Linked DNA regions of Alligator mississippiensis. The protein of the gene in region 3 interacts with the protein of the main gene of each other region in a pairwise test. Links are inferred from orthologs where the notes say so. Each region holds a gene or a part of one and is shown on either strand. Other genes may lie near its edges. The genes, in order: KIFC3, ZGPAT, TFIP11 and TXLNA.

Region 1 (6,952 bases), about 37 Mb from region 3:
CAGACAATTAATACACCAGCCAGCAGAGGAAAACTTGTAAGTGAGAGGAACAAAACCTGCACTTCGGAACCAGTTTCTGGAAAATAAATAAATAAAACGTTCAGAACTAAATGCAAAACTCTCTCTTTGATTTAGATTTTCCTTGATCAGTTCATCTCCATCATGAATACACAACCCCCTACCATCAATTAATCAAAGTAATTTATTTTGTAATTGGGAAAGTAACAGAGAGAGACTCTTGTTACAGTTTTGGTTTTTAAATACTGTAATTGAAAAGCACTCAAGAGACTAAAGGTGACAAAAGCTGTAAGGGCAGAGACAGATGGATAATTTCTGCTAAATCACTTCATCTCTCACTATGTTTCTTTAACTGTCTGTATATAGGAACAATGATATTTCATACAGTGAAAAAGAACTAATGTTTTCAAAAGAACTTGTGGATCGTAGGATGACTAGTGATGTGTATATGCAAATAGTATGCCTTATTATTTCAGCACCAAGCAGGACATAGCCAGATTTTAATCACACACAACATCCACTCTCCACCTTTCTGTTCCTCAATACCCACCATCCTGTCCACCTAATACCAAAGGAATGCAGAAAGGTCAGTGAGGAAATGAGAAAAAATGCATTTTCAACCCCTCCACCCCCGCAACTGCCCTGCCTCTCAAACATATTTTTATGGTCGGCAAGAGTTAAAACAACCTTTCTATATCAAAGCAGGTACAACTGTCAGATAAGCTACTGCCAAAGCTTAAGAACTTAAAATATCAGAGCAAACAGTAAGTTTCCCATCAAAAATATCTCTTCCAGAAGCCTGGCATTAGCATTTAGCCCCACAGTGACCCTGAAGTCCGAGACTAGCATGAGACAACAGCGCTAGCTGTGTGGAACCCCAGACAAGCAGCGGCAGGTTTCAACAAGCAGCTTTCAGTTCTTTCAGCTGCTTTTTGAAAACATTTCAGTCCCTGTGGAACACCACACAAAAACTAAACTTACCTATTTGGTTTATATGCGGTTGGGAGACAACACACCCTTCCAAGGAGCCGAGATGAAGGACGACCAGAAGCCACGTGTTTTTTTGTTGTACAAATCACAGATAATCATTTCTTTCACGTGTTAAAATTTAACTTTTCTCCCAAGGCTTCTCATTAGAAGAGAGGGCAGCACCCTCAGCACAGCAGCACCTTTATCAGCTGAATCCTGTTGTTACCTAACAGCCTACATTTGTATGGGAATCAGTTTCCCCAAATCTTAGTTTCATCTCTGACATCTGAAAAACAATGTCAGAAATGTGGACTCACTGGTTTTCAAGTCTCTCCTTGCCAGAGTGTGAGAAAGGGCAGGAGCAGGAGTGGGCCGGGCATGGAAGGAGGATGAGCCATTGCATGATACTCACCGTCTAGAGGGAGGTCCTTTTTCCACAGGTCTCTCTCTGAGAGATTGAGTCTCCAATCCCAGGTCTCGCAAGATGTAATCATGGCATAGGGTTCCCAAGCAGACCGGCACCTCAGGGCCTGGGAATCAGTGCAAAGAAAGGTTTGGGGTCAGTACTGGATCAAATACCAGCTGAAGAAAGGTAACAGTCCAAGGTGAAATACTCCAGCAGGTTATGCAAACAGCAGTGCCGCAAACTCAACCCTAACCCCAAACCATCTTGCAACTATCCAGATTTAATGCTAGGGATTTATTACAAGAAATACTGAAAAACAGATTTTACACACACTGTGCTCATCATTCACCCAGTAATTCCTCTCTTATTTCCAGCTTCTTTCACTACTAAAATTTGGTTTAATAACTTCTTAGATCATGAGTTATTCAGGGCAGAGATCATCCACTGCCCCTGGGTTGGGGAGGGAGCGTGTTCCTATGACAAGATGAACCAGCAGCCTTCCTACGAATCTGCGCATCACCAAGCACAAGGACCAAGAAACAAACATCAGGCTTTTACCAGCTCTGCTCTCTACCACACTATGCTGTGATCCTGGCAGAGGCCTTCAAGAGTTATCACAATACAAATAAATCAACTGAAAATATGCAGTTGTAATTCAGAGAGAGCATCTTGCACTGGTTTCCTCTTCAGCAGAATACCCTCTAATTTACATGCTTGCAATTTAAATCTCATTTGATGCTGGTGATCTGACTTGGTGCTGGCCTTATGTGTCTTTAATCAGAGCATTATCAGGCCAGGCTACAGAACGAACACTACAGAGGTTGGAAGAAGGCAGGGGAGTCAGCGAGAGAGAAGTCTTATCCACGAAGAGGTGCAGCTGCCCTTAGATGCTCAGACCTCTTTAGCCCCCAGTCTCGCTCAGCCGGGGAAGGACTGCTTCACCCACTGCACAGCCCTTTTTAAATTCTCTGGTTGATGATGAAGGACTGGCAGGGTTTACTCGTATCCGGCCTCAGTGGGATGGCTCAGGATCAATGCACACTGCCAGCATGCCCACCTGTGTCCTGTGCAGCTTGCCCACTGGGTCCCCTGTGGAGAAAGCACCCGGGAACCAGCCCTGGACACCTAGTGCCCCCAGCCCCTGCCTGGAGGCTTTGTTCTGCCTCTAAACCCAAACGCTGGGTGGAAGGAGGGACCCGGCCCTGAAGATGAACCCGCCAAACAGAACAGCTACAGAAACAGGCCTGGGGCTTGGCAAGGGGGGGGCGGCATGAAGGGCATCAGATGAAAGAAGGGGTCACCGCAGCCCTGCGCTCTGCTCCAGGCCTCCCAAACTAGCGGAGACCAAGCCAGGCTGGCGGGTACCTAGGCACTGCCACACCTCCCGGGCAGGGGCAGCGCAGTGGCTATGAGGAGAACTGTCCGGGCGGGGAACGCCCCTGCTACCGCCCCGCCCCGTCCCGTCCCGCACCGCACCGCACCGCACCGCACCGACCTGTGCCCGCGGGGCCGGGCCGGAGAGCAGGGCGGCGGCCGCGATCCCGCCGCCGCGGCTGGGGCGGGAGGCGGCGGCTGATGCCGCGCGGGTCGCCCGGCCGTAGCCGCCCCCTTCTCCCGCTGTCAGCGCCGCGCCGAGCCGGGCGGGGCGGGGCGGGACGGCTCCCCCCACGGACACTTTTCCACAGGAAACGACTGACTCCAGTCGCTGCCGGTTGCTATGGCGACCCGCTTCTCGCAGCGCAGCCACCGCTCGGCCGCACCGCACCGCACCGCACCGCACCCCCGGGCGGACTGGGCCGGGCCGGGCCGGGCCGGGGCCACTGCCGGTCCCGTGTCCCTGGGCGTTGGCGGCCACCGCGGCACGCGCCCTCCTGCCTCCGCTGTGCTGTGCCCCGGCCGCAGCCGCACGTGCTGAGAGGCTCTAATAATGCACCAGTGTTACTTGAAAGACCCCCCGCGCAATACCCTCGCCCGCGGGTGCCCCGAGACCCCTTCAGAGGCGCCCCGCGCTGCGAGGGGGGCAAAGGCGAGGCACAAGGGGAACACAGAGGTCTCAAAAAGGAAGCCACGCTCAGTGCTAAAAAACAAAAGCCCAGCGCTAGGGCCCTTGGGTCTGCAGCGGAAACATGGCTGCCTTCAGCCTTGCTCTTCCCTAGCCGAAGACCGAGTGAAAACTGAAGAGCGGCCTCCCGGAGGCAGCTTCGAGCTCCTTCTGTTCCTGCAGCTCGACACCCAAGGCAGAGAGCTGTTACTAAATGCTTTACCTCTCAAAGAAAGATTGTCTGTGGGAGTATCCTTATTGTTTTTTTATTATTTTAAAATACTCCTTGTCATCAGCTCAGAGGACCCCCACAGGTCCCTGCCAACCCTATGCGTCTGGGGGTCTAGGAGGGTGCTGCACTGGTGCAGTTGCAACTCCCCCCCCTCCCTTGATTCCTGCTAAACCCAGAGTTTAAAACCAGCTGCCTGGCAGTGGCAGCAGCATTTCTAGTCGCCTGGTGCTGAGGGAGCCAGTTGACTTCCTGGCTCATTATCTACCTGATCCCTTCTCAGCCCAGTGTTAACCACCCTCTCTTTTTAATTGTCTTGATGTTCCACCCATCAAGCCATCCTTTTATTCCCTTGTCTGTTAGCTGCTCCATATAAGGAAGCCCCTTTTCCACAGCACTGCAGATGGTTCTGGGCTCCTTCCAATGAAGTTGTGTGTTTTTTGTTCATTCTTAAACTAAATAACATAGCCCTAGGGGCCTTCAGCATATTAGTAGAGCTTCCTGTATATTTTTACCTGGAAGAAAATGTGTGTTGTTTTATATGTTATGGTGAATGTCACCATCTCTGCCTCGCTTTCCAAAATTCTAGATCTGCCCATGGGTTCTATGGTTCCAGTGTGCGGCAGCCAGGGTAGGCTACTCTGCATTTGATTATCATTTTGCTTTATACAGGTAGCCAGAAAACCCCATTGCCTGTCACTAAGTGCCTCTCTGATGCACATTCCAAAAGTCAAATCTGCTGAAGTCAACAGCTCCCAGCAAAACTCAACCTGCAGAGCTCCCGCGAAACTATGTATTTCCCCACAAGTCTTATTCCTTTCACTCTCTTTATTCCCCAAGAGAGCAAAAAACCAACAAAACAAACAGGTATGCCTTACTCCCTGTCAACTGTTTTACTTACTCAGGATAGCCATGCATGGTAGGGTGGGTATTTGACGGATCAAATAAAGTTCAGTCAACTGACCAGTCAAATATCAGTCAAAAATTGTAAAAAAAATTGCTAATAGGTCCAAATAACACACAGAAATGCACAAATTTTCCATTAAGAAATGTGTAAAAAAAGATCCAATTGTAAAAAATCATATTTCTGTCAAAAAAGCTACAAAAGTGTGGGGGGGGGATGTAAAATTGCTATAATCTTTGATGGGTCAAAAATATGTAGTCAGTTGACTGGTCAGTTGACAATGTTTAATCAGTCAAATGACCATCTTGCCAACCCTAGTCCAAGCATCTGAATTTTTCACAATCTCAAATTAGTAAGTAAAACAGATGAGGGATTTTTAACACAGTATACTTTTTACTTGACAATGACCCAATACATTGCAATACTTTGCACATCGATGGCACCTTAGATCTGAGAATCTCAAGGCATTTTGCCAACCTTAAGCAAGACCAAATACCTATTTTATAGATTCAGATGGGGAAGCAAATGCAAAAGAAAGGGGAATAGTGATGCATGTGTCATCACATGTTTATAGCAGAGTTGAAAGTAAAATCCAAAGAGCCTATTCCCAGTCCTATACTTTAACCACATACTAGTCCTTCCCTTTTCCACAAATTGCAGGAGTAATAAATTACTAGTTCTACATTTGCTTGTAGAGGGGCAAAAAGTGACTTTAAAATAACATTCATGTAGTTTCTTCCTACAATTACAACATAAGTAATGCATTGCAGGTGGCTTAGAAAAAAATCCCTGGAACTAGTAATTTACTAAAGGCAGGTCTACTTTTAGCTAACTTTGCCAGTATAACTATCCTGCTTTGCTGGGATAGTATATCTGACACAGCTTATACTCATAGGCAATGTGTAGGGGGAACACGAGGAAGCATATGCAACCCCTAAGATTGGCCCTCACTGACTGGGGAGTGGGGGCGCCAAGAAACGCACCAGCTGGTGTCCCCCCCAAGATTGGGAGATTGGTGCCAGCCGGGGAGTTGGGGCACTGAGAAAAGTGCCAGCAACACTTCCAGTTTTGCCACCAGTGATCAGCTTGCTGGTGCCCCTACCAAACTCAGGAGGCACCAGTCACCCATGTGCAAAACCATGCTTTTTGATGGCTTAGTTTATAGCTCCTTACCCTTCCAGAAAGAGAAATAAGCTGTTGGTAAAATCCAGTTTTACCAGTATAACTGCATCTACACTTGCCCTTGTAGTGTGGCAATTTGGTCACAAATCAGATCTCATCAGACTCCTGACCAACATAGCAAAAGTTTATAGCATAAATCTGACCTTAGAGCAGGGGTGGGCAATTATTTTGGACAGAGGGCCTCTTACTGAGTTTTAGCAAGCCATCGCGGGCCACATGACAGGCAACCCAGGGCAGATAAATATTAATTTTCTAAATTTTTTAGGGGCCCTGTGGGCCGGATAGAATGGCTTGGTGGGCTGCATCCAGCCCTCGGGCCGCATTTTGCCCACCCCTGCCTTAGAGGAATGTGGTTCCCACCCTTCCTCTTCTCCCTTTTAACTTTTGCTGTTGAGAAGTACAATGGACACCAGTGGAAAAGGCACTGAGGAAAACGAAGAGAGAAAAGACATATAGCCATGTGCCCTGAAAGGGCAAAGAGAACATTTGTTCTTTTTTTGAACAACCAGGATAGATTTTCTCTCTGCTGCAGGGCAGAGCCAAGCTTACTTTTAGTTCCCTTGCTCAGTGGCTGCAAGAGCCAATGCAGCTCCTTGTATAGGGCAGCCCTGTATCATGTCCCTGCTGCATTGACCCCAGGGGAGTTTACAATAAAAGAGAACTGCTGCAATGTAGGTAATTCTTACTCCTGCCTTCCAGCCTCCTTCCTGCTTCTAGTCTACCACTCAACACTGTCCCTCACCTTCTAGGACTTTGGCATAGGACTGTGCAGAGCTGAGAAAGCTGGCTCCGTGCCTGGAGTCAGGAGCTCCTGTACCAGGCAAATTCCCTATGGGATCCACACACCTGCCCTGCAGCTGCTTTCAGTCAGCCATGATGAATCCAGCCTCAAAACCATACCCATCAGCAGAGCTGACCCAAGCAAGGTGCAGGGCCTGGGGCAAATCAGGCCATGTGGGGCCCTGCTCCCGCTCCGATCCCATGAGCCCCAGGCCCAAAGACACTGCCGGCATCAGCAGTTCAGGGTGGGGGATAGCGAGCAGGTGGGTGGGGAGCTGCCGCTCTGCCCAGCTCTGCAGGGCCCCCCAAAGCACAGGTCCTGGGGTGGTTGCCCTGATTTGCCCCCCCGAGACAGCCCTGCCCATCAGCATACAGTTGACCTGGTTCTCCTGTGCCTCATCATTGCTGTCTTTACCAGAATCA
Region 2 (7,701 bases), on a different chromosome or scaffold from region 3:
CTTGAGCAAGTACATGCAGCACACAAGGTGAATTGACAGGGCTAGCCAACTGGGAGCCCACGAGCTTCATCCAGCCTGTGGGTTCCCACTCGACCACCACTCCCTCCATTATTTCTGTTGACACAGCAGGTCTTTGGAGGACAGCAGCATGGCAAAAGGCCCTATAAGCTTGTTGCCTATGCAGCATGGGGTAGGGGAGATTGTGCTGCCACTTGGTAGTGGCAAGGGAGTGAGCTCATGAGGCAGTGATGGGGGTGGGGTTGCCCAAATAGCAATGGTGGTACCAGGAGAGGAGGGAAAGCAGGCTCGTGCTGCTTGCGCAGTGGGGAAGGGAGGGGGAACCCTATCTGAGCAGCAGGGGTTCTGGAAACCTACATAGGGCATGGCCCCTGCAGCATGCTGCCTGCGCAATGTGTAGCCCAGGGCTCATGATCAGTGTGGCATGTGGACCCTGGCAACCCTGAAGCTAGAGCCTGGAGGTACAGATGCATGGTGATACAGGTAACAGAGCTGCAGAAACAAACTTGACTGAAATAATAGTTAAATTCCATAACATACATAGCCAACATCAGTAACAGAAACACAAAACCCAGAAAACATACTCACCAAAAGCTCTTTTAGATTCTGACAGTCTCTCCTCATCCGTGGAATCGATAATATAGATGACCCCATGGGATTCAGCATAGTACTGAAATCATAGTAGAGGTCAACGTCTAATGCTTAGAGCAGTTTGCTTCTCTTCCTATTTTTTACGTGAATTCTGTAAAGTTTCTGATACACATGGAAAAGTCTGACTGAGATCAAACCACTAGTGTCAGGCATGTTGTGAACAGTTTCGCAGATCTCTGTGGACAGAGTTGGTAACTGTTCCTCTATCCCAATGATTCACTATTTGCCATAGTGGGCCACGCTTGCAGCTTTCAATGTGGCACGTGGACTGCTCCCACACAACTTACTTCCTGTGTATCCATTTAACAAGATGTCACATGGGCCGCAGCAGTGTGCTGATTGGGCCGCATGAGGCCTGTGGGTGGAGAACCACTGCTCTATCCAGACAGGTAAGATACGTTATTAGCTCTTCCTGATAACTAGAATTCAGCAGCAATCTCAGTCTGTAAGTCTCCTTATTATTCCATTGCCAAAGACCCTTGTAACCAGAGTCTGGCAGGGGCGTTCAATTGCTTGGCTGTTTTCTGATTTGCGCACTTGGGCTACACAGATGCATGGAATTCCTTTAAAGTGTCAGAAAAGAAACCTAAGCAGTGACCTCCCTGACACCATCTTTAACAGTCGCAGCCAGGATGCAGTGGCTTTTAAAGTCTAGGGCAATACATGCTAATCAAGCTGTTTGTTAAATATCAGCGTGGAGCAGGCAGGGATACATTTACTATCAGACAAGTACAACCAACAGTACTAGTGGCTCAGGTGGCCGTTTCCTCCATTTGTTATAAAAAGATGCTAATTCTGTTACCTGCTCTCCCCTGAGGGCTGAGAGACTTGATCAATTAGGGTTGTAAAGCGCTGTGAAAGGCTTAAGTAATGCTATTGATCTCTCAAACAGATTAATTGCACAGGGATCAGTGCTATATATCAGGGTTCACCAAGAACCCTGTAGAGTCACCTCGTTTCCCCGCAACTCTAAAGAAACACAGAACCCTGGAATATAAAAGTTACTTCCTCTACCTTGTCCCAGAGAGACTGCAACTCGTCCTGCCCTCCAAGATCCCAGAACATTAGCCGGACTTTGCCCACATCAATAGTGCCAACTAGAGGAGGGAAAGCAACAAAAATATTCAATGAATACTTTGATCATCCTCTAAAGCAGCTTAACATATGCACACAAAATGAAAGGACAAATGAAAAGTTCATCTAGAAAAAAAAATGACACTCTATTTCATCGGTATTTCTCAACATGATAGCCACAACTAACATTAGTATAATTTCACCTTTCTATAAAGTAAATAAAAACAGTCAGTGAAGCTATGCCAGTTTAAATGAGATCTGAATCAGGTCTACTAATTTCAGTGGAGCTGTAGGACTGAATTGGCTTAGGTATGGTAAAACATGACATTCGTTCCTTCAGATTCAGCAAGTTTTTGCCATCTGCTCTTAAAAGAATGCATGAAGAACTGGGAGGTGATGGAAGTATCTCTGTTAACACGCACTATTTTCACTGTGTAACCTTTTCCTAAATACTTCAAGAAAAGATCAATTTCATGCAACTTTGCAGGAAGGGAAAAAGAGCCTCCAAACCAATTCACTTACTGTTTAAGCCTACAGTAGTCGTAATTTTGGATAAGCTCATCCCCTTGTAGTTCCTGTTAAATCGGATTTTAGTTTGCTCAAGGAAGGTCTGAAAGGATAAAGAAAAACTAGTTACTGTCACGTACTTTATTGGTAAGGGTGATTCTATCCAGATCTGCCTTCCCCCTACTAGAAACCATCAGGATTCTCCATGAAATCTTAGAATACAGGCAGTCCTTAGACTTACGACACAACTGGTTCCTGAAAACCACATCTTAAGTCAAAACGTTGCAACTCGGAACCGATTTTCCCATAGGAAGCGATGTTATAAATGGGGGATTCGTTCCTAAACCAAGTCCCAATACCCTATTTTCACCAAAAATACCCCAGAATTTTGTACTTGATCAATTATAGATGAGTAATATAGCTACATTGATGTATTTATATTGTAAATAACAATCCTATTGATTTGGAAGGACTACTTTGAGGAGCCTTTGCTGGACGTTTTGAAGGGCTCTTGGCTGGAGTCTTCTCAGCAGTCCTGGCTGCAGGTTTTTCTGGAGTCTCGTCTGCTTTCTTAAAGAAAGTGTCCAAGGAAGTTTGGACAGATGTTCTCCAGGAGGGTGGGTGACGCAGCAAACTGGTTTGCTGGCGTGGCTTGGCATCAGATCAAGTGTTGTAAAGTCGAAACCGTCAGAAAGTTGAAACAGCGTGTCAATTTATAAACGTAAGTGCGGTTCGTTGCAACTAGAAACGCTGTAAGTTGAGGACGGCCTGTATAATACTTGCCTTGTTTTCCCTGTCATACCACAGAACCCCACACGCGTTCCCAGGTGATTATGTGCTTATCAAAGCCTCTGCGTGAGTCTGTCTGAAGGCTTACTGCACTAAAATTGGGGGGGGGGGGGGGGGGAATCCATCCTTGACGTTACATCACTGAAGTAACACCAAGGAAGAAACTTGCCTGTACTCCACCTTTGCAGGGGAGGAAAAAGTGGAACTGCACGTGCCATCTAGACAGAGAGAGAAATGAAAAGCACGTACCGTTTTACCAGCATTGTCCAACCCCAGGATCAAGACGCAGTATTCATCTCTCTGGAATATGTACTTATAAAGTCCAGACAGCAGCGTATACATCCTGCTCCTGCAATAAAAAAACAACAAGTCAGATCCTGCCGTACGGTTTTATCTGCTGTTGGTTAATCATACAGGGTTTTCATTCCCGTTCTTAGCAAAGGGAGCGAGCTGGGTTGAAGGCCAAGCGAGACAAAGCGTTGGCTGGGACGATGTGGACGAGGCTGGTCCTGCTTGGAGCAGGGGATGGAGCAAGACTGAGCAACGCGAGCTCAAGCAGTCTCGCTTCTCATGTATTTGGCACCTACGACCGAGGGCCGACCAGCTCTCGCCTGCACCCCGAAAGCGGCCGGCTTTTCACCCGCACCGTGCTGAATCGTTTGAAAATCTTGCCACGTATTTGACCGCCTGAACAGCAGCGGAGCAGTCCCACGCGTACGCAAACCCCTCCACATCCTGGGCTGCCCGTTGCCACGCCAACGCCGGTAACCGCTGCGGGGTCCCTCTCGCCGTGCGCATCAAGGCGCGGCAGGCGATCCGCGCGCGGCTCCGCCGGCGCCCGGCTGCAAGTCGTGGACAACGAGGGCTTCGGGCCAGCCCCGACTGCATCGCCCCAGGCCCGGCTTCATCTACCCGGGTCTTAACCCCATTGTCCGCCCAGTGCCGTTACGCTGAGAAAAACGACCCCCAAAAATGCGTCTTTGTGACGCCTGAAGACGAACGATCGTTATTTCTGCACAAACGCACGCGCTCCGTATGAATCGTAACCGCGGAGCCCGAGATGGGCTTCTTTTTGTCATAATGGAGTGAAAAGGTCCAGATTTTTTTGGTGGTTTTTTTTCCTTATTTCCAGGTATGGTGCGGAGCTGAGGCCTAACCCCGGCGCGGAGCCCCCCGCCCCTCTGGGTCGCTCGCCCGGGGCTGCCCACCCTCCTCGTGGGGCAGTTTCTCCTCATGTCCCGCCCCTTGCCCAGGCACCTGCCGCCAGCGAGAAGCGGCGCCCGCAGCTACGAGGCTCCCGGCGTCGGAGCACAGAAGCCGGCTGCTCACGGCCTCCCCCCGCTGGACCCTTGGAAGCCGGGACAGCGAATGCGCTGGGAGGGGGGGGGGGGGAGGCCCCGACTCCCCTCAGAGCAGGCCCTCCAGTCTCGCCTCACCTCAGCGAAGCCCCGGAGGGGAAGCAACAACCTCCCCGCGGGGCGCGCTGGGAGCTGTAGTCCGCCCGCGGAAAGCGCCCCGGCGGGCACAGCGGGAGCGGGTAGGCGAGCGGACTACAACTCCCGGCGTGCTTCGCGCGCGCAGCTCTTCTTCCCCCTCCTCACCCACCTCACCTCAGGCGCCATTGGAGGAGAGGCGGGAGGACTGCCCTCCCCCGCCAAGATGGCGGGCGGAAGTGACGTCTGACCTGCGGTGCGGAGGAGAGGAAGTCCCGCGGGGGTGTCATGGCGGCGAGGAATGAGTGAGGCCGGTGTCGTGGGGTCAGTTCTGGGCGGGGGGGCAGTCACCATCTCCATGGTTACCAGCCTCCCCCAGCCCCGTTGGTCAACGATCTCCATGGTTACCAGCCCCAGTGGGGTGGGGGGGCAGATGCTGGGTGCCCCATTTGCGGGGATGCTGAGTGGGGCGGGGGGATGGCTTCTTTGTGCCCCCCCAGCAGGCTGGGCTGGGCACGGAGCGGGTCAGGATGCGACCCTGCTGGAGTAACGGGTGGTGAGGGGACGCGGCGTGGGAGCAAAGCCTGGGGGCTAACAGCCGGGCCGCGGGGTGGAAGGGTGCGCGAGGGGGGCTGCCGTCTTCTCCGCGCGTCTCCTCGCGGTGGGATTCTCGGAGCCGGCCGACAAGGCGTCCCGTGCACGGGTGTGCGCGGGCCGGCTCTGCCAGGTCGGCGGTGTGAGACGCGGTCGTGGCGGTCTCCGCCGTGAGCCCCGGGATCGGTCGCGGCGGGGACCTTTCCCGGGCGTCCTGGCGGTAACGCTGCTTTCAAATCTCCGTTCCCTGCAGCGTGATTCGTCCGGTCGCGCCGAAGGGAAGACGACGCGCGATGGCCGAGGAGACCGACGGCTAGTCTGGACAGAGATTCGCTGTCGTCGTCCTTGAGCGTGTGCTGATTTCCCGCCCACCCCCCCAAAAAGGGACCCGGCGAGACGGCTTTATACTTGACAGCGATGGATGAAGAGAGTCTGGAAGCGGCGATTCAAACCTACAATGCCCAGCTGAAGCAGGTCGAGCTGGCTTTAGGGGCAGGGCTGGACCCCTCGCAACAATCTGACTTGATCCAGCTGCAGGAGGATTTAAAACAGCTGATAGAATTGACCGAATCCAGCCTGGTCTCTGTTAAAAAGAGCAAACTATTCGCCACTTTAGACCCTGCTGCTCCCTCCGCCTCTCCAGCAGATCACCTGAAGCAGGACGCTAACCCGGGCAGTTCTTCCTATGATGACGAATATGCTGCTTTTAAAGAAGCTATCGCTGAAGCTGGTGGCAAGGACAGGCCTTCGAGTACTCGGGATGAGGTTTCTCCAAAGAAAGATGGAGAGGCTGACGGGGAAAATGAATCGAAGTACAGTGATGAAGAGGAAGAGTTTGGGAGAGAGGAAGAGGAGGAGGAGGAGGAGGAAATGAGTGGGATGAAGGTTAAAGCCCCATATTACAGTTCCTGGGGCACTCTGGAGTACCACAACGCTATGATTGTGGGGACAGAATATTTGGAAGATGGCAGCGCGGGAGTCAGAGTGCTGTATCTCTATCCAACTCACAAGTCCTTGAAGCCGTGTCCGTTCTTCTTGGACGGGAAATGCAGATTTAAAGAGAATTGTCGGTAAAGAAGCTGATTTCCTTTGTGTTGCTAGATGGTAATTAAAGGCACTGTCAGCTAAGGGGGTAATCTCTGATTTAAACACTTTATCTTATTTGGCTTTTGAAATCTGCCCCAACTTTGCCAAACGGTTTTTTTATGTTTGACAGTGTCGTCCTTTTACTATCCTATGTCAAACAATGAGAGCGTTCCTTCTTCTTCTAACCCAAGGAGAAAATGGAAACTCCTTTAAGTGAAAACTGCAAGGAAGGGGTTAATTCTAATATAATGGACAGCTAAATACATTCTTGCTAATGAGGAAGACAAAACTGGGGGGGGAGGGGGGGAGGAACGGGACACCTCAGTAATTTTGTATGTAGCTCCTGCATTTTGTCCTGAAAGATCTGTTTTGCCACATCTGTTGCTGCAGGTGTTATTGTTGATGACCAGTGAGATGCAGCCACTTCCGAAATGGACTACAACATTTATTTTATGATATTGAAACCATTTGGGGGGATGCACCTTTTTATAATTTCTGGTGTGGATTTAGCAATGCCCATGCCCCTTTGAAGGAAGAAACTTTGTCTAGGCTTATTTTCAGATGAGGGCAGATCTCATCGCTTCTCTTTCTTGCAGGTTTTCCCATGGGCAAGTGGTATTGGTGGAAGAACTTCGTCCATTTGAAGAACCTGACCTCAGTTCTATGGAGGTGGGTTCGGCCTGTTTGGCTAAACATAATGATGGAATATGGTATGCTGCGAAAATCACTGGTGAGTCTTGTTTTAATATATTTTAGCCAGGTTGGAAGGTGACCTGAGGTCCTGTAGTTAAAATAGAAGGATTAAACTCTTCGTGATCAAACAGAACCAAGGAGGGATGTGGGTAAAGTGCAGACCTGGGAGTTTTGAGATGAATAAATTCATCTCCCATCTGTGCCACAAACTTGGGATGCAAGAGATGTTGTGTTGCTTAATTCGCTAATATTTGTAAAGTGCCTTGTGAGCCTGTAAGGGAGGGGCTTTAAAGTAAAAAAGGTGAAGGAGCAAAAGCTGGAAAGTAGGGAAGACTGGAGAAAAGGGGAACAGCAGGCAAAAAAAAAAAAAAAAAGGCATAGAAATGAAAATGTGCATAGAAGAAGGAAAGAATGAATCAGTTAGATGGTCAGTAAATTGTCCTTGTGTCCCTTACCCCCTATTCAGCGTTGTTCAAATATTCTAAGCACCTGGTCAAATACGGAAGTTAGACACTTGGAACAACTCGCTATTGTTTTAAGTGAGCACCAAATTAAACACAGCCAAGAAAATTTGGCCTCTTGCCTGCTCGCTGAGGGGAATGTTAGGCTGAAGTGCTTTAACATGCGAAGTGGGGCCATTTCTTCACTCTCTTTCATCTTGAAGCAGCAGCAGAGGACTGGAGGATGCCTTTAACTTTGCCTGACTTACAGCATTTCTGCAGTGCCCCATACCCATTCTTCATTCTAAGAATAAACAGCTGAGTCTATCTGGGTTTAGCTGGCTATAGATGTGAGTGGCGTTTTTTCCTTTTTTTTAACTAGAAACCCAGCATAGCAAAAGCAGACAGTGAGGAGA
Region 3 (7,342 bases):
GAAAGGATGGAAACAAAATGCAGCCCCTTAATTTGTTATAACTTCAATCTCCTCTGCAAGAACACTCACAAAGGGGCAAACCTTGCAAGGGCCAGGAAGGCCCATCAACCCATCAAATGCACAAAAGTGAGGGGAAACTGCCTCCACAGCAGAGGATGAAATCACAGACCTGTGGGCAGCATGACAGCATCATTCTTTTTTTCATCTGCTGATTTAATATCCTAACACCTAGATGCTCCTGTGACGGGGGCTACACGAACATCTTTAACAGGGTTGCTCATTTTAAGAATAACTCACCGTTTTTAACTTCTTTGGTACAACCTCCTTGGGCAATTCTTCCTGCTTAATAGGTTTCTCATCATCCTCGTCCGAGTCATCTTCCACCTCCTCCTCTGCTGCAGGCTTTCGCAGCCCGGCGCTGATAAAATTGACAGGGGCTGAGTAGTCTCGAGATCTGTATAAGGAAATCACGTTAAAGAGGCATTTTTAGAACTGCGTGCGTCAGAGCTCTTCCACTGGGGCAGCAGCTGGAACACAGTCAGAGACACCCTCGCAAGCAGTTCCCTCTTAATGTTACGATATGGAGCTACAAAGCCGGTATTTGAAATGCAGGAAGTTTGAATTTATGAAGGAAAATCTGCGTTCTGAAAAGGACCTCGCATTTTTTGTTTTAGCAAACTTCAGCCTTGAAAAACAATCATCTCTATCCCAAACTCTACCTAGGCACTAAGCCAACTGCTGAGGGAAGTGAACACCATGTATGGACAACCCAGGTTATGTAGCTTTTGAAAAACCCTGTATGAGATTCCAATCCCTCCCTTCTCTTACACAAACCACAGCCAGCACGTCGTTTACCACCTCTACGTGCTTGAGAGAGCACCTTTCTGCACTACGCTCTAGGTGTCATGTTGCCAATGGCTCCCTGGTGGTGACACAAGACTTAAGTCGCAGAACCCCCGGGGCTGACGAGAGAACTCTCCCGCGGTTCCTTTCAGGCCAGCAGGGAGAGGATGGAGTTACTTTATTAAGGGAATTATTAACGGAACTGAAAGTATCATCATGTCTCTTTATAAATCCATGGTGCATGTTGAATGCTCTTTATAAGTCCATGCTGCACCTTGAATGCTGCGCCCAGTTCTGGTCCCCACACCACAAAAGGATGCAGAAAAACTAGAAAAGGTCCAGACACAGGCAGCAAGGATGTTGAGAGCTATGGAGGGGCTTCTGTGTAAGGAGATACTAAAGAGGCCAAGCCTGTTCAGTTTAGAAAGAGAAACCCTAAAGGGGAGCACAGGACAAGGGTTTACAACTAAATGCCAAAGTGAAAGCCAATAGGGATTCATAGAATCACAGAAGTCAGGTCGGAAGGGACCTTGTAGATCTTCGAGTCCGACCCCTGCCTGGGCAGGAGGGAAACTGGGCTTAAGTGACCCCAGCCAGGTAGGCATCGAGCTGCTTCTTAAAGCCCCCCAGGGTAGGAGCCAGCACCACTTCCCTTGGAAGTTGGTTCCAGATCCTAGCCACCCTGACTGTGAAGTAGTTCCTACGGATGTCTAATCTGAACCTACTCTCCAACAACTTGTGGCCGTTATTCCTTGTTATCCCGGGGGGGCGCTCGGGGAAACAAGGTCTCCCCCAAACTCTTCTGGTCCCCCCTAGGGAGTTTACAGACGGTCACCAGGTCCCCCCTCAGCCTTCTCTTGTGGAGGCTGAACAGGTTCAGGTCCCATAGCCTCTCATTGTAGGGCCTGCCCTGCTGTCCCCGGATCATGTGGGTGGCCTCCTCTGGACCCTCTCCATGCTGTCCACATCCCTCCTGACGTGCGGCGCCCAGAACTGGACGCAGTACTCCAGCTGCGGCCTGACCAGTGTCGCGCAGAGGGGGAGGGGGATTTATTATCTACTCTCTCTCACGATACAAAAGCTAGGGGTCACAAAATGAAACGAGTAGGCATTAAGTTTAGAAAGAACAAAACAAAATGTTTTCACCCAACATGTCACTGAAGCGTGGAACTTGTCGCCACCAGAAGCGAATTCAAAACGGGCTGGGGGACATTCCTGGAGGAAAGGGGCGTCAGTAGCTGTTGAATATGGGAGTGAGGGATACAACCCCTGAATCAGACCTTCCTAGACCTTAAATGCTGGCGGCTGCAGGGGGGAGAGGAACAGGGAGGGAAAAACCCCTGGTCCTCCCCTGTTCACTCTCCCGTTCAGCGTCTGCTGCCTGACAAGGCCCTGTTTGTTACGCCGTGGGGGACGTGCGGGCTTACACTCACAAGGAAACACTAGAAACCTCCCTTAAAAGCGGGGGCAACTGGAAACATAACCGACTTTGGGGGACAAATAAGCAGCAAGCAAGGAAAGGAGCGCGGTCACGAGCTAACAACGAGGGATCGGGAAGGGAACACCAAGCAGACCACGCCGGCCCCAAACGAGTCGAGCCCGTGGACGGCGGCCAGCGAAGATCTGCTCGGAGACGACGGCTCCGGTCACCCCGCGAGCAGCGAGGAGCCGCCCGTACCGCTTGCCGCCGAAGCTGGGCCGCTCGTCGTCGGAGTCGCGCTCGGCCCAGATGCCGTAGGTGGCCTCCTCCTTGGTCTGCCGGTGCCGCTGGCGGTTGGGGTTGAACTCGTTCTGCAGGTCCCAGTCCGTGATCTCGAAGCTCTCCATCTCCACCTCGCCCTCCTCATCCTGCCCGTACAGGTGCGACATGGACATGGCGGCCTGCCGGGGCGCGCCGGCATCAGAGCTGGTGGCGGGGGGGCCAGAGAGGCAGGTGCAGGCACCCCCACTCCTGCCCCCCCGACCCCTTTTCCTTCCCAGCCCTTCCCCCCACCCCATTCCCCCAGCCCCTCCCCCACTCACCTCTTCTCCCCCAAACCCGCCCCCCCCCCAGCACTCACCGCTCCCCGAACCAGGAAGCGGAGCTACAGCTTGTACCGGAAGCAGGAAGCGGCCGGATGTCCTTCCGGGGTCGCGAGCGCATGCGCCAGCGCCTGCCCGGAAGCCCGCGCCGCGGAGCATAGAGTGAGGGGGTGGGGCAGAGCGGCACGGCCGGCTGTCCGCCTCGGCGGACTTCTCTATGGTTGGGAGGGTGGGGTGGAGGCTGGGAGGTCTGCACCCCCCCCCCCACACACACACACACTTTTTCTCTCTAACTTCACACACACGTGCATTATGTATCTACACACACAGGTAAATGCACATATGTACACCCACCCGGTGTATGTATGCACGCACGATGTATACACTCACACATGAATTAAGCCTACACATGTATACACACTCATTATGAACACACGGACATGACGTGTACACACGCTGCATACATGCACACGCATGTACACACACACTATATGCATATGCACACTATGATTATGCATGCACACACACACCCCTATTGTGTACACACGCACATTATGCATATGCACATATTACATACATGCACACATGACATGCATGCACGCACACTATGATTACGTATGCACACACACATAAACATGTATCGCGTACACATACACATTACGCATGTACCCACACACACTATGCATATGCACACACACGTATCGGGGTGGGCAAAACACGGTCTGCCGGGCCCCTAAATATTGATTTTCTAAATTTTTTATCTTCCCTGGCTGCCTGTCGGTGCAGCCCTCGATGGCTTGCCAAGCCTCAGTAAGCAGCCCTCCGCCCAAAACGACTGCCCGCACACACACACGCACACAGCACAAGCTTTCAGCTGTAGCTCACTTCCCCAGCACTGTGAAGGGGGAGGGAGGGATTCCTCATGCCACCGTTTCTCATTCAAATCGGTATTTAAACACTTGCTGCTGGAGAACTGCACCCCTCGGGTCAGCGACGGCACATCCGCGGGGTTGAAGCACCTGCCCCAGGCTGGCAGGTCTGTCTGCCACCCATGTCAGAGCCCCCAGGCCCTCCCACGCACCCACGGGCCCCGCATCCTTCCCGTGTCCGCAGCCCTTCGTTCCAGCCCGCGAACGCCCTTCCTCGCATCATTAGCGCAAACGATGATGACACGCCCTTTCGTCTGGAAACAGTGTTTAATCACCGCAGGAAATGAACGGAGCGGAGCCAGGAATGAAACAGATGGCCTCATATATTAATTTTTAAATAGATTCTGTAAATTACAAGTGAAGGAACGACAGAAGGCAGGTCTCCGATTGTCACTTGTACGACCAATGCTCTACGAGGTTATCGACACCTATTCCCGGTTTGCAAACAGAAGAACAGAATGACGAGACAGTTTTAAATACAACTTTAAAAAGTCCTCAAGTAACCGAATGGGCGAATCTCTTTCCAACGCGCTCTGAAGTTCCAGCCAGGAAACTCGTCTCCCAGGATTTTCCTCTTTACCACAGAGCATTCAGAGAAGGTAGACAACTGGTATCCGATGTGTGTCATGTTTGGCCTTTGCAAATAAATGCAAATACATTCCTTGTGTAGCAGTCCTATTTTGGCAATATTAGCAAGCAATATGCTTGGATAACAGATTTCCACTTTTGCAACTGCAAACTGTCTTCTCTGCTGGACGCTGAAAGGCCACGTGCAGCCTCCTGAAACAGAAGAGACGCGAAGCGTTAGGGATGAGACGCTGAACATAGTGACCGCGGGGTCCACTCTTCAAACCCACAGCTACTTCAAGCACCTTGTTAGCGAGATCCAAGACCTGGACATCACCTCTCCCTACTTGGTGCTGACCCAAGCCCCATCAATCCCACATGCAAGACGTTTCTAATGTTGCTGAAGTCTCTGAAGGCTGCAGCATGCAGGTGCCCCCAGGGAAGAGATCTTAGTGCATGTTGCACACCGGGAGGAAGCACAATTACACCCGGAGCACAACCCCTTACCTGGAAATCATTAAGTCAGCGAGTGAGGCTCCGACGTGTTCTGAGGCACCTGGAACAACCCAAGACAGACGAGAGTTAGCTCGGCCCCAGACAGCCCCTCTGCACCGACAAAGCGAGACAACCAGGGGATGCCAGTGGTCCACGGGGCAGGAACCAGCACCGCACAGAGATCCCCGTGCCAGCTCGGGTCCTGACCACAGCACGGTCGTGTGGGCACAGCACAGGTTTTGGGACAGCAGGGTGGGGGGGATGAATGCAGACTCGCGAAGGCAAGCCCAGAGCTGCGAGCGAGGGCAGTGCTGGAGGGGTGGCAGCGGGGTTAGCATGCAGGCTGGGCACGGCAAAAGGATTCGGAGGGTTGGGAGGCTGCAATCCGCGTGGCAGAGGGGGAAGAGATGCAAGCAGGATTGACAAGGGGCTTCTCCTAGCAGCTGCCAGCATGGAGCTGCTGCCTGCACGGCGCGCGGCACACCCACCCACAGCGCTCTCGTTGCCGCCGGCTCTTACCTGCAGATGCCCTTTCAGATTAGCCGGCACTTTGAAATCTCCCTTCAGGACCTGCAAGAGAAGCAAAGCCGGAGTGACTCCCCGTGGCCTTGGGCTGGGGGCTACTCACCGCCCCTCTCTGCCTCGGTCACCACCCGGCTCATCCCTGGGCGCCCACGCCAGACACGAGCACCAGCAGTTTAACACGGGGCACCTGGAGTGCGTCCCCGAGGCCAACAGCTGGCGTGGTGGCAGGGCTAGTTCAGCCAAGATGCAGGGTTTGCCCCCAGCTGCCTGGATCCTGGCCAGCCGAGACCCCTTCTCCCCCCAGGGACTTAGGAAAGCGCATTAAAGTCTCAGCCTTTCACCTGGCTCTTGTTGTCTCCAGTCCTTCGTGGCCCCAAGCCCGACCGCAGCCCGCCCCACCCCGCGCAGGGGACCCCGCACTCACCCGGTGCGTGTTGTTGATCACCAGGGGGTCCGGGCTGCCGTAGTTGGGGGGGTTGGCGTAGGGGTCGTAGCCCAACCTGGCCAGCATGGGCGCGATGTGGGCCATGTCCTGCACCACGTCGCCTGGGATGTGCCCGATCCACTTGGACAGCGCCTCCAAGTTCACAGGCTTGATGACCTGGTCCGTGGACCTCTCGATCCTGGGGGAAAAGGTCAGGCACTCACTCACCGGGATGCTGGAGCGGGCTGGGGTCTGTGTCCTGCTAGACTAGTGGGCTCTGCATCCCCTGGGAGGACTTGCTCAAAAACAAGAGACCTGAAGCTTCACGAGAGGCCGTGACGGAGCTCAGGGACATGGATGCATCTCATGGGGGGCTGCCCTGCCCCAGCCCCTAGCCAGGCTTGCCCCGCAGGAGGGCTTTACTACAGACCGGCTACATGGCAGCGCAGCTACAGGCCTGGAGCTGGGCCAGCCCTGGGAGCAGGAGCCACACGTCCCACCCTGCTTGGTGGGACCTCCGATCCCTGCCTAGGGCCCATCGTTCGTGCAACCTTTCAGTGGTTTTCTGTCTCCACCCCGCAGGAGGGATTCAGCACCATGCCCATTGGGACTGAGGACACCACACCCTAAATATCTAACACGCCAAAAACGCTGCTTCAGGCATCACCAGCTTGAGTCGTGGCCCATGCAGCGCCGGGTGGGAGGACCCTGGTTGGGCTAAAAAATGCCAAGCTTGGAAGCACCCCTGCGCAGGCTTCGCTGGGAACAGGTGCAGCCCATGTTGGATGCCCAGAGCCAGAAGGGAACAGGCGCAGAGACCTCCCGGCCAGTCCCCACGGGCTACGGTCAGTGCTGGCTGGAGCAGGTGAGAACTAACAACCCGCAGCGGGAGGGAGCGTTCCAGCGGCTGCAGACAGCAGCTCTCTGGAGCACAGCGAGGGAGTGCACACGTATGCACACACGTGCGTGTGTGTGTGTATGCATGCACTCGGGTGCACAAGATGCTTTATTTCACAATCAGGGGATGATTGAGACGGGCTCCTCCCCTTCCCAGTTGGCTGCAGCCAGGTTGCAACAGCCAGGTCACGGCAGCCCCCTGCTAAGGGTGCAGGCATAACCTCATCTCTAGCTGCAGGGACTCACTTGGACAGGGAGACACCGCCAGGCTTCCCGATCAGGTCCTCGTGGTGCAGCATGGCATCGCTCCAGGCGATGCCCAGGAACTGCATGATGGCCTGCAGGGACTGCTCCGGGTGCAGCACCAGCTGCTCGTAGTAAACGGGCAGGCAGCGGGAGCGCCCGATCTCCTGGCACTGGGAGTACATGACCTCGATGGCCTTGTTCCACTTGGTCAGGCAGTCCCGGTAGCTGCTGAGGTCGAAGCCGGCGATGGTGACCTTGCGCGTGATCATGGAGTGCACGGAGGCCCGGCCGTCCCGCACCATCAGCAGGAACTTGGAGTTGGGGAAGAGGCGGGAGAGGTAGACGGAGGACTTGAGGGTGAAGGGGTCTTTGTTGCAGAGGTAGCGGGCCGGCT
Region 4 (7,430 bases), on a different chromosome or scaffold from region 3:
GCCAGCTTCTCCTCCGGGGTGCTCAGTGTGTTCAGTGTCTGCATCAGCAGTGTGATCTCCTTGCCTGGAACACAGGACAAAGCAAAAATCCATTTCAGACAGAGCTCCCAGTCCCAAGGCATAGAGGCGGAGCCTGAGCAGAACCCCTGCCCTGAGGCAAGCAGCTAGTAAAAGTTTCCCGAAGACATTTGTGCCTTGGGTGACTAAGACGGTGGCTGAAGTGGTCTTCTTGGACAATGGACTCAATAAACCTGGGTTAAACTCCCTGAGACACCACCAACTTCCTGGGTAACCCACGGCAAGCCACTAAGTCTTTGTGCCTTCACTCTCCATCCATACAGGATTAGTGAGGATAATTATGTTAGAGCTGAGGTGCTCATATAACAGTGAGGGAGATCAGCAGAGACCCAGTGAGAAGGCAGGGCAAGTGGTCTGTGTGCTACCTGCACCAGGTTACATGGGCAGCTGGGCAAAGAACTCCAGACGTCCTGGACTCCCACATCCATGCCTACTCTCTAACCACCCCCTCCCCAACCATGGCAGGGAAAAGAGGCTTAGCAGGCAATTTCACGTACAACTCCATGTTAGAGTCATGCCACGTAGGTGCAAATTAGACAGGCAACTGAACACTCGCTCTACATGCTAACCCTGTCTGGGCGGATGTCCAGAAATATCCTTCATTGCCAACACATACATAATGCAATTTACTGTACTTGCATAATCAAGCGCAAGAAGTATTGGCAGTCTTTATTTGGCAGGATCTGACCTGCACCCTTTTATTGCATAGAGCAGGCACCTACAGAAAGCAGGGGGACAAGCTTCACTCTGTGTGTGCACGCTGCTGTACACATCCACCCTGGTACTAAGGGAACACAGAATTTTTAGCACTGGTCTGTGGCTTCACCATAGGGGATGTGTACACAGACATGGATGCTATCATGCAGGGACTGGGTAGGAGCCCTGTCCCCCTGGATTTAGCTGCTAAACCAGCAGAGGTGAAATGCCCCGTCCCCCAGGCTGGCTGACCCTGAGGTCAGAGCCCCTACCAAGCCCCTTGGCTTTCTTCTTCTCCTGGGTCCGTTTCTGGTCCCGCTCCCCACACTCGTCACCGGTCCGGAACTCCTCGGGCCCCTTCGAGCCCTCCTTCTCCCCGTTAATTTCTGGGCAGCCTGGCTCCTGCTCCCCGTTGCGTGGAGATTCGCTCCGGCACTTCTCTGCCTCATCAGGCTCTGCAGGCTCGTTCTGCCCCCCGTCATCCCCGGGGCCCTCCTGGCTGGCATCCACGCAGTACGTGTTGAGGATGTCCTCCAGTTGCCTGCTCAACTCCTCAGAGACATCACAGATGGCAGGCTGGGAGCCCTTTGCTTCCTCCTGTCCAGAAGCTGCGGGAGATGGGAGAAGAGAACGAGCATGTGACACCTACCCTCACAATCCCCATCCTCTAAGCATGCCTCTGCCAACCCCCTACAAGCAGAGAAGGGGAAGAGCTTCCTAAGCACGTAACAGCCCTTCCCAGCGCCAGCTCCACTTCCAGCTGCATCAGCCGCTTTGTTCCGACGTCGGGGAACATCTGTATCACTGTGCAGCTGCCCTGACCGCAGAGATGCACCACCCTCTTTTCATCTTGGTGGCATGACCAGGCTGCCAAAATCTGTCGGTGGCAAAACTTCCACTTGCTTGATGGAAACAAGCGCAGCAGCGGTTTTCCTTCGCAGGCACAGCCTGGTAATGTACGCCCCCCGGCCTGACATTTTAATAATACTAATGATCTGGGATCGGACGTAGGTCAGAGACAGCCGCTACGTGCTGCCTTGACAGCGGACATCAACACAGCTCAGACCAGATCTCCTGAGGACTGGCAGCCGTTGGCAAATGGATCTTCAGCTATTAAGTTAACGTGACTCATCAGATCCCGCGTTTGCTAGCCATCGGAGCAGGAGGCAGGCCTCGATTCAACCGAGCACTGAGCTGACTCGACAGGGCTTCCCCGGGCGGAGGGGTAACCTTTACCGCGCCGAGAGAGGGGCAGATGCCCTGGCTCAGGGCGGGGGCAGCTCACACGACTGGACAGAGGAGCAGACGGGGAGCTTTGTGCAGAAGGTCCCAGGGCTTTGAGTAATAAGTAACTCAATAACAGTAAAATCACTCAACAGCCGGACGAGACTCCGTCTCCCCCCGTATCCCAGGCATGCAGCCAGTAGTCCGGGATGTCCTAGGATGCACAAACCTGACCCTAATCCCTCCCTGACACGGGGAAACAGGAGTTAGCTACGATGCCCGCCCGCCCGCCCGCCCGAGCAGAAACGCACCCTCCATCTTCTCCCGCGTCTCGCTGGCCGGGCTCTCGGCACTGCCGTCGGGCTGGCCTGCCGAGTCCCCGGCGTCGGCGGGCGGAGCAGCCTCCGGCGAGTCGTCCTCGGCGGGCGCCAGGCCGCTACCGCCGGCTTTGGAGGGGCTCGCCGGGGCCGCCACGGCTTTGGTCTCCCCGCCCTGGTTCTTCATCGCGGCTCTTCTCCCCGCCGTGTCGACGCGCCCTGTGGAGAGAGGAGCACCCGCTGCCTTCGCGCCCGGGACTCGGGCGGCCGTGCCCAGCCTGCCCGGGCCCGGGGCGGCCGCAGGGACACCCCGGCCCCCCCCCCAGCGTGGCCGAGTGCCCGCGTCGCAGGGCCCCGGGGGGGGAGGGGTGCCACCGGGGCCCTCCCCCACCAGCTGCACCCCCCCTTCCCCTCCCCTCCCCCACCAACGGCTGCAATCCCCAACCCCCCGCGCAGGGCTGCGGGCCCCGCGCCGCGGTGACATCACACACGCACCCCGTGACGTCACCGGCCCGAGGTGTGACGTGGCTCTCCGGGTTCGGTCAACCAGCGAGCGAGGGGCCCCGCTCCCTTCCTAGGCCGCCACAGCTCGTCCCCCGCCCGGCGGCCCCGCTTCCTAGGCGCGGTTCGTAGCTGACGGAGAAGCGGCTCCGGCCCGGGCCGCGGAGCGTGTGTGGAGTGCGCATGCGCCGGCCCCGCCGCCAGCCAATCCGCGCGCGAAGCCGCGCGGCGCCTGCCGGGAAACGCCGGTTGGAGGCGGCAGTTGAGGCGGGAGGACGCGACTACAACTCCCGGCGGGCCCCGCGGCAGCGCCGCACTACAGCTCCCGGCGTTCTCCGCGGCACGGCAACACTACAGCTCCCGGCGTGCCCCGGAAACAGGGCGGCACTACAGCTCCCAGCAGGCCCCGGGGCCCACACTGCAGCTTCTGGGGCAGGGGCAGCTCCCTGTTCTCAGCTAAGCAGGAGGACGTGGCCCGTGGCAGGGAACCAGGGGCAACAGCTGGAGGCAGGCAGAGCCTGTTGAACAAGCTCTAGGCCTGCATGGCACCAGCCTGGCACACGTTACATACATCACACAAAGCCTGGAGTCCAGGCACGGGTGCACTCAGCTCACAGTACCAAAAACAACCGAGCAGCTCTGCAGAGCCCACCTGCCACATCATCAGTGCTTAACGTGGACCCAGGTGGGAGCTGGCTTCTACAGGATCCTGCTCTCACATGAACACCTGCCCCAGGGCCCGCGCAGGAAAGCTGTGGAGCCGCTCCCATTAAATCCAATAAATTAAATAAAACGTATGCAGCGTTCCCTCTGCATAGCTACAGCGAGGCGGGATAGGGTCGAAGCTTGGCTGGGCTGGGGGAAGGAAGGGAGGGTCTGAAGATGGCGGCGTTATTGGACTTATCCCTTCCCCGTGGGGCCGGAGACGGCGGGAGCAGCCCACTAGCTGGACACTGCGGTTTATTGGCACGAAGGACCGGCATGTACAGCTACTGCTTAGGTTTAAAGAAAGCAGAGGCCGAGGCCTGTTTCACCCCTTCTGTTTGGACATTAATCACACACACCTCTGCCAATCCATTCCCAGGTAAGTTCCCCGTGTACATAGACAGGCTTTAGCCCGGGCCCCCGCTGGCACAGGGGCGATGCCCAAAGTTTCATAAAAGAATCCAGAGTCGCCCAGTATCCGGGATTGTGGAACAGGTTCTTTATTTATGTTGCATCTGTTACAGTGTTGGAAACCTAAGAGAAACACACTTTCAACTCCATATCAAGCCGGCTAGTCTGTTCTAGAGTCGGGTGGGCATCCTCTCAATCCACCATGGTACAGCTATGCCGTAGCTTTAAAGGGGGACTCACTGAAGAGAACCATAGTATTTGGCTTCATTTAAAAAAAATAAATAAATAAAAAAAAATCCTTACTCGGAGAAGAAGAAAAAAAAAAAAAGCCTTAAGATACTGCAGTGGCTACAGGAAGTCCTGCATTCAGGTGTCTGAACGCTGTACCGCAACCACAACTTACCACTGCCCTTGCTTTTGCCACACGTGCTCGCAGCTCTATAATGCAACCCATACATGAGCTGGTTAGTAAATGAAAAATAAACTTAAAAAAAGAATCTCTCACCAGCTCCACTCCAGGGTGTGGCCATGTGTGGTTTAATGCTCTGACATGCACTTACGTAACAGAATATAAGTACATAAGTACCATTCATGGGGTTTGTAACTGGTTGCTTCTTAAAAAAAAAAAAAAAAAAAAAAAAAAACACAAAAAAAGGACAAGTCTCCAGCTTCTTTTCTGTGAAGGATCCAGGAGACAAAAGGTTTCCAAAGCGCCATTCACACTTCAGTGAATCTTTTTCTAGCCAGTGTTACAGTAGCTACTGGTCTGATCTGGTTTCCACCCCTCCCCCTCCCCCCCAAAAGAAAATCCCAATTCACAGTTTGCCAACGGCCACAGCACTGTTTGCAAAAGTCCCATTCTTATTTAAAAAAAAAAAAAAAAGAAAAGAAAAGAAAAAAGAAAAATATTTCACCAGATTGGTCTGGAAAACAGACTGTTGATGAAAGGCCCTATGCTGTTGATGAGTTACCCTTCATTTATTCCCACACCAATTGCATAGACAATGAGGAAAGCAAGAACCCAAATATTACTGCACATCTAAGTTCTACTATCGCTTACAGGTTGTCCTTCAACAAAGGGCTCAGCCCGCTTCACAGGGAAGGGTCTCTTGAAGTTACTGCACCAGCTCTTTTGCCAACAGCAACTGCATATTCTGAATACAGTGATCTGTATTGTATGGGACAAGAACAAGGGTCAAATCTTAATGGATTGGGGAGAGGGGGGGTGTGATGTGAACCCTCCTGGATCCAAGCTGAAACCCTGTGCTAAACCTAGGGAATGAAACACCCCACTCCATGTGCTAAAGAAAGAAATCTTAGACCCAAACCTAGTCTTTGATACTAATTATGACTCAGCTTTACAAAGGGCCAGAAGATGAAAGCTATTCAGAGCTCTAGGCTAAATTCTAGTGGTTTCCAACATGCACAGTTGGAGACGCAAGTAGTCTGGGATGTTGTGCACTTAAATGGCTCTTCATGAGTCAGTCCAAAGGGACTGCTCTCGTATGAATCAGCAGCCTCTAACCCCAGCCACCCCACTCATCACTTAGATGACAGCCAGATGCAATTACATTTTCAGAAGGAGACTGCCATCAAGAGTGCAAGCTCAGTGCTAGGACTGCTTTGCATTACTGCACACGGGCTGCTGTGCTTCTAGAATAGCAAACAGACAGAAAGATTGCAGCACGTACATCCCAAGACAAGCTGACAAAACTTCAGGGAGGAAAAACCTTCACTTGCTGCATTAGTCAAAGGGCAGAATGGTTCCTACCAAGCAGCACTGAGTCTTCCAATTTCCCAACTCAAATTCCTTTGAAGACCAATCAAGAGAAGTATTTTGTTGATAAGTGCACCATACTAGCATGGCTTTCCCTAACGTAGGTTAATATGGGATCAAATTAAAGCCAGACTGGTCTAAATCTAGGACAAATGGCAAAATTCAGATTAGTCCTTATGCCTAGACCTTTGCCTCACTATATCTTTCAAAGTTTGACAGCTATAGTGTTATAATCCCATCACATTTTGGGACTCAGTTCAAAACACAGTGGCTGTAGTGGTCATTGCCACCCCTTGTAAAGAAGGCCCGAACATTCACGAATGCAGACTGGACTGCCAGAATGTCAGGCAAAGCCAACAACTGCTGGGAAAAAAGGCTGTGCTGTCTGAGGAACTGTTGAAGAGGAGAGGCTGAGGCAGGATTTGAGAACTAAAACTCAAGAGTCCTTCAAGTTATGACACGTGCAGAAGAGATCATGGCAGGAAACCAAGGCAAGGGACCCAGCATCGTTTGTACAGATTAAGCTTTAATCAAACGCTTCAAGGAGGTGCAATTGTCTGTTTTCTGCCATGGTCAAGTATTAAATACTAGAGCGCCAACAACAAAAGCACTTAGTTGGAAAAACAATGCATCAGTTTGAGGAAGGATCCTCAAGCAACCCCCAGTATCTTCTATGCCCGTACAGCCTTCTCTCTGGGTTACAGAGCTTTTTCCTCTAGGTAACAGGAGGAAAAAAAAGACAACCTCACCAGCCCCAGTGGTCAAAAGTCCCTCTGCTAGCTGAATGATGAAGCCAGACTTGATATCAAGCATCCACTGGGTACCATATGTATTTACCTGAAAGAGTTACAGAATTGAGCATCATGGTCTATGTAGGGGCAAGACAGCCTGGAAAGTGCCAGCAAGCAACTACAGGCTAGCAGCCCCAGAGGATATACATTTGAAATAAAAAAAGCCAGTAGAAATAGAGGATTTAAGATGCTCAGGTTGCTGACAGCACCCAAGTAGCATTGAGGTCAACTGAATGTGTTAGCATAGTCTAGTGCCACCATTGCATGGCAGTGAAATACTGATAAAAGTGATTGTTCAAAGCAGATCCATAAGATGTATGGCTGAGCCTCAACACCTCTTCTAGATCCACATGGCACTTGTGTGAGCCAAGAAAATGAAACTGAAGTAGTTTGAACACAGGAAAAAAGTGAATGTTAAAAAAATATACATATCTCTATCAAATGGCACACCCCCAAACAGGGACCTTGGGGCCTGGGGAAGGCTCACCTAAAGTGATGCCAAGAACCAACAAAGGTTGCTATGCAGGTCAGGTTCTCCTGCACTCTGCAAGGAACAGCTTTCTCAAAGCCAAGCCTGTTCCCCAGCCCCAAACCCAGAGTTGCAATTCACAAGAGAGCAAAAAAGGTGATGCCCTTCTCCCAAGTTTAGCTGGAAGAAGAAAAGATTGCCAGGTGGCAACAGATGCATCATTTATAACATCTGTATTGGCCACCAGAGATGGAAGCCTGGATGCCAGAAAGGAAAAGACAGTGGTGCTGGAACACAATAGCAAGCCTGCCAGTTAGTCAAGGAGCAGCAAAAGACAGGCGCTAGCAAATTTTCATCAGGGTTAATCCTGCCTTGCAGGGAGAAGGCAAGAAGAGTGGGAGATGGGCTACTTGGTGCCTTTTTTTTTTTTTTTTTAAACCAACCATCGGCTCATTTCATAC

What was found.
Region 1: the proteins of TFIP11 (region 3) and KIFC3 interact in binary tests that used the Homo sapiens proteins (3 or more experiments, as listed by UniProt). The link is inferred for Alligator mississippiensis from reciprocal best matches to the Homo sapiens genes TFIP11 and KIFC3.
Region 2: the proteins of TFIP11 (region 3) and ZGPAT interact in binary tests that used the Homo sapiens proteins (3 or more experiments, as listed by UniProt). The two-hybrid records come from large-scale screens. The link is inferred for Alligator mississippiensis from reciprocal best matches to the Homo sapiens genes TFIP11 and ZGPAT.
Region 4: the proteins of TFIP11 (region 3) and TXLNA interact in binary tests that used the Homo sapiens proteins (3 or more experiments, as listed by UniProt). The two-hybrid records come from large-scale screens. The link is inferred for Alligator mississippiensis from reciprocal best matches to the Homo sapiens genes TFIP11 and TXLNA.

The regions. Positions count from the first base shown.
Region 1 is NC_081833.1:38,415,551-38,422,502, forward strand, and holds the start of KIFC3 (kinesin-like protein KIFC3), read right to left. Parts: upstream 3,005-6,952; 5' UTR 2,889-3,004; intron 1,518-2,888; 5' UTR 1,400-1,517; intron 1,321-1,399; exon of another isoform or gene 1,000-1,320; intron 1-999. UniProt on the Homo sapiens protein: Minus-end microtubule-dependent motor protein. Involved in apically targeted transport. Required for zonula adherens maintenance.
Region 2 is NC_081832.1:2,435,969-2,443,669, forward strand, and holds the start of ZGPAT (zinc finger CCCH-type with G patch domain-containing protein), read left to right. Parts: upstream 1-4,688; 5' UTR 4,689-4,777; exon of another isoform or gene 4,778-4,796; intron 4,797-5,319; 5' UTR 5,320-5,483; coding exon 5,484-6,136; intron 6,137-6,748; coding exon 6,749-6,882; intron 6,883-7,701. Other genes in the region: ARFRP1 (ADP-ribosylation factor-related protein 1), read right to left, coding at 607-688, 1,684-1,766, 2,266-2,353, 3,289-3,381. UniProt on the Homo sapiens protein: Transcription repressor that specifically binds the 5'-GGAG[GA]A[GA]A-3' consensus sequence. Represses transcription by recruiting the chromatin multiprotein complex NuRD to target promoters.
Region 3 is NC_081833.1:1,409,735-1,417,076, reverse strand, and holds the start of TFIP11 (tuftelin-interacting protein 11), read right to left. Parts: upstream 3,008-7,342; 5' UTR 2,904-3,007; intron 2,725-2,903; 5' UTR 2,719-2,724; coding exon 2,522-2,718; intron 455-2,521; coding exon 298-454; intron 1-297. Other genes in the region: TPST2 (protein-tyrosine sulfotransferase 2), read right to left, coding at 4,879-4,917, 5,376-5,426, 5,806-6,004, 6,949-7,342. UniProt on the Homo sapiens protein: Involved in pre-mRNA splicing, specifically in spliceosome disassembly during late-stage splicing events. Intron turnover seems to proceed through reactions in two lariat-intron associated complexes termed Intron Large (IL) and Intron Small (IS).
Region 4 is NC_081829.1:5,547,926-5,555,355, reverse strand, and holds the start of TXLNA (alpha-taxilin), read right to left. Parts: upstream 3,005-7,430; 5' UTR 2,811-3,004; intron 2,535-2,810; 5' UTR 2,503-2,534; coding exon 2,310-2,502; intron 1,383-2,309; coding exon 1,047-1,382; intron 65-1,046; coding exon 1-64. UniProt on the Homo sapiens protein: May be involved in intracellular vesicle traffic and potentially in calcium-dependent exocytosis in neuroendocrine cells.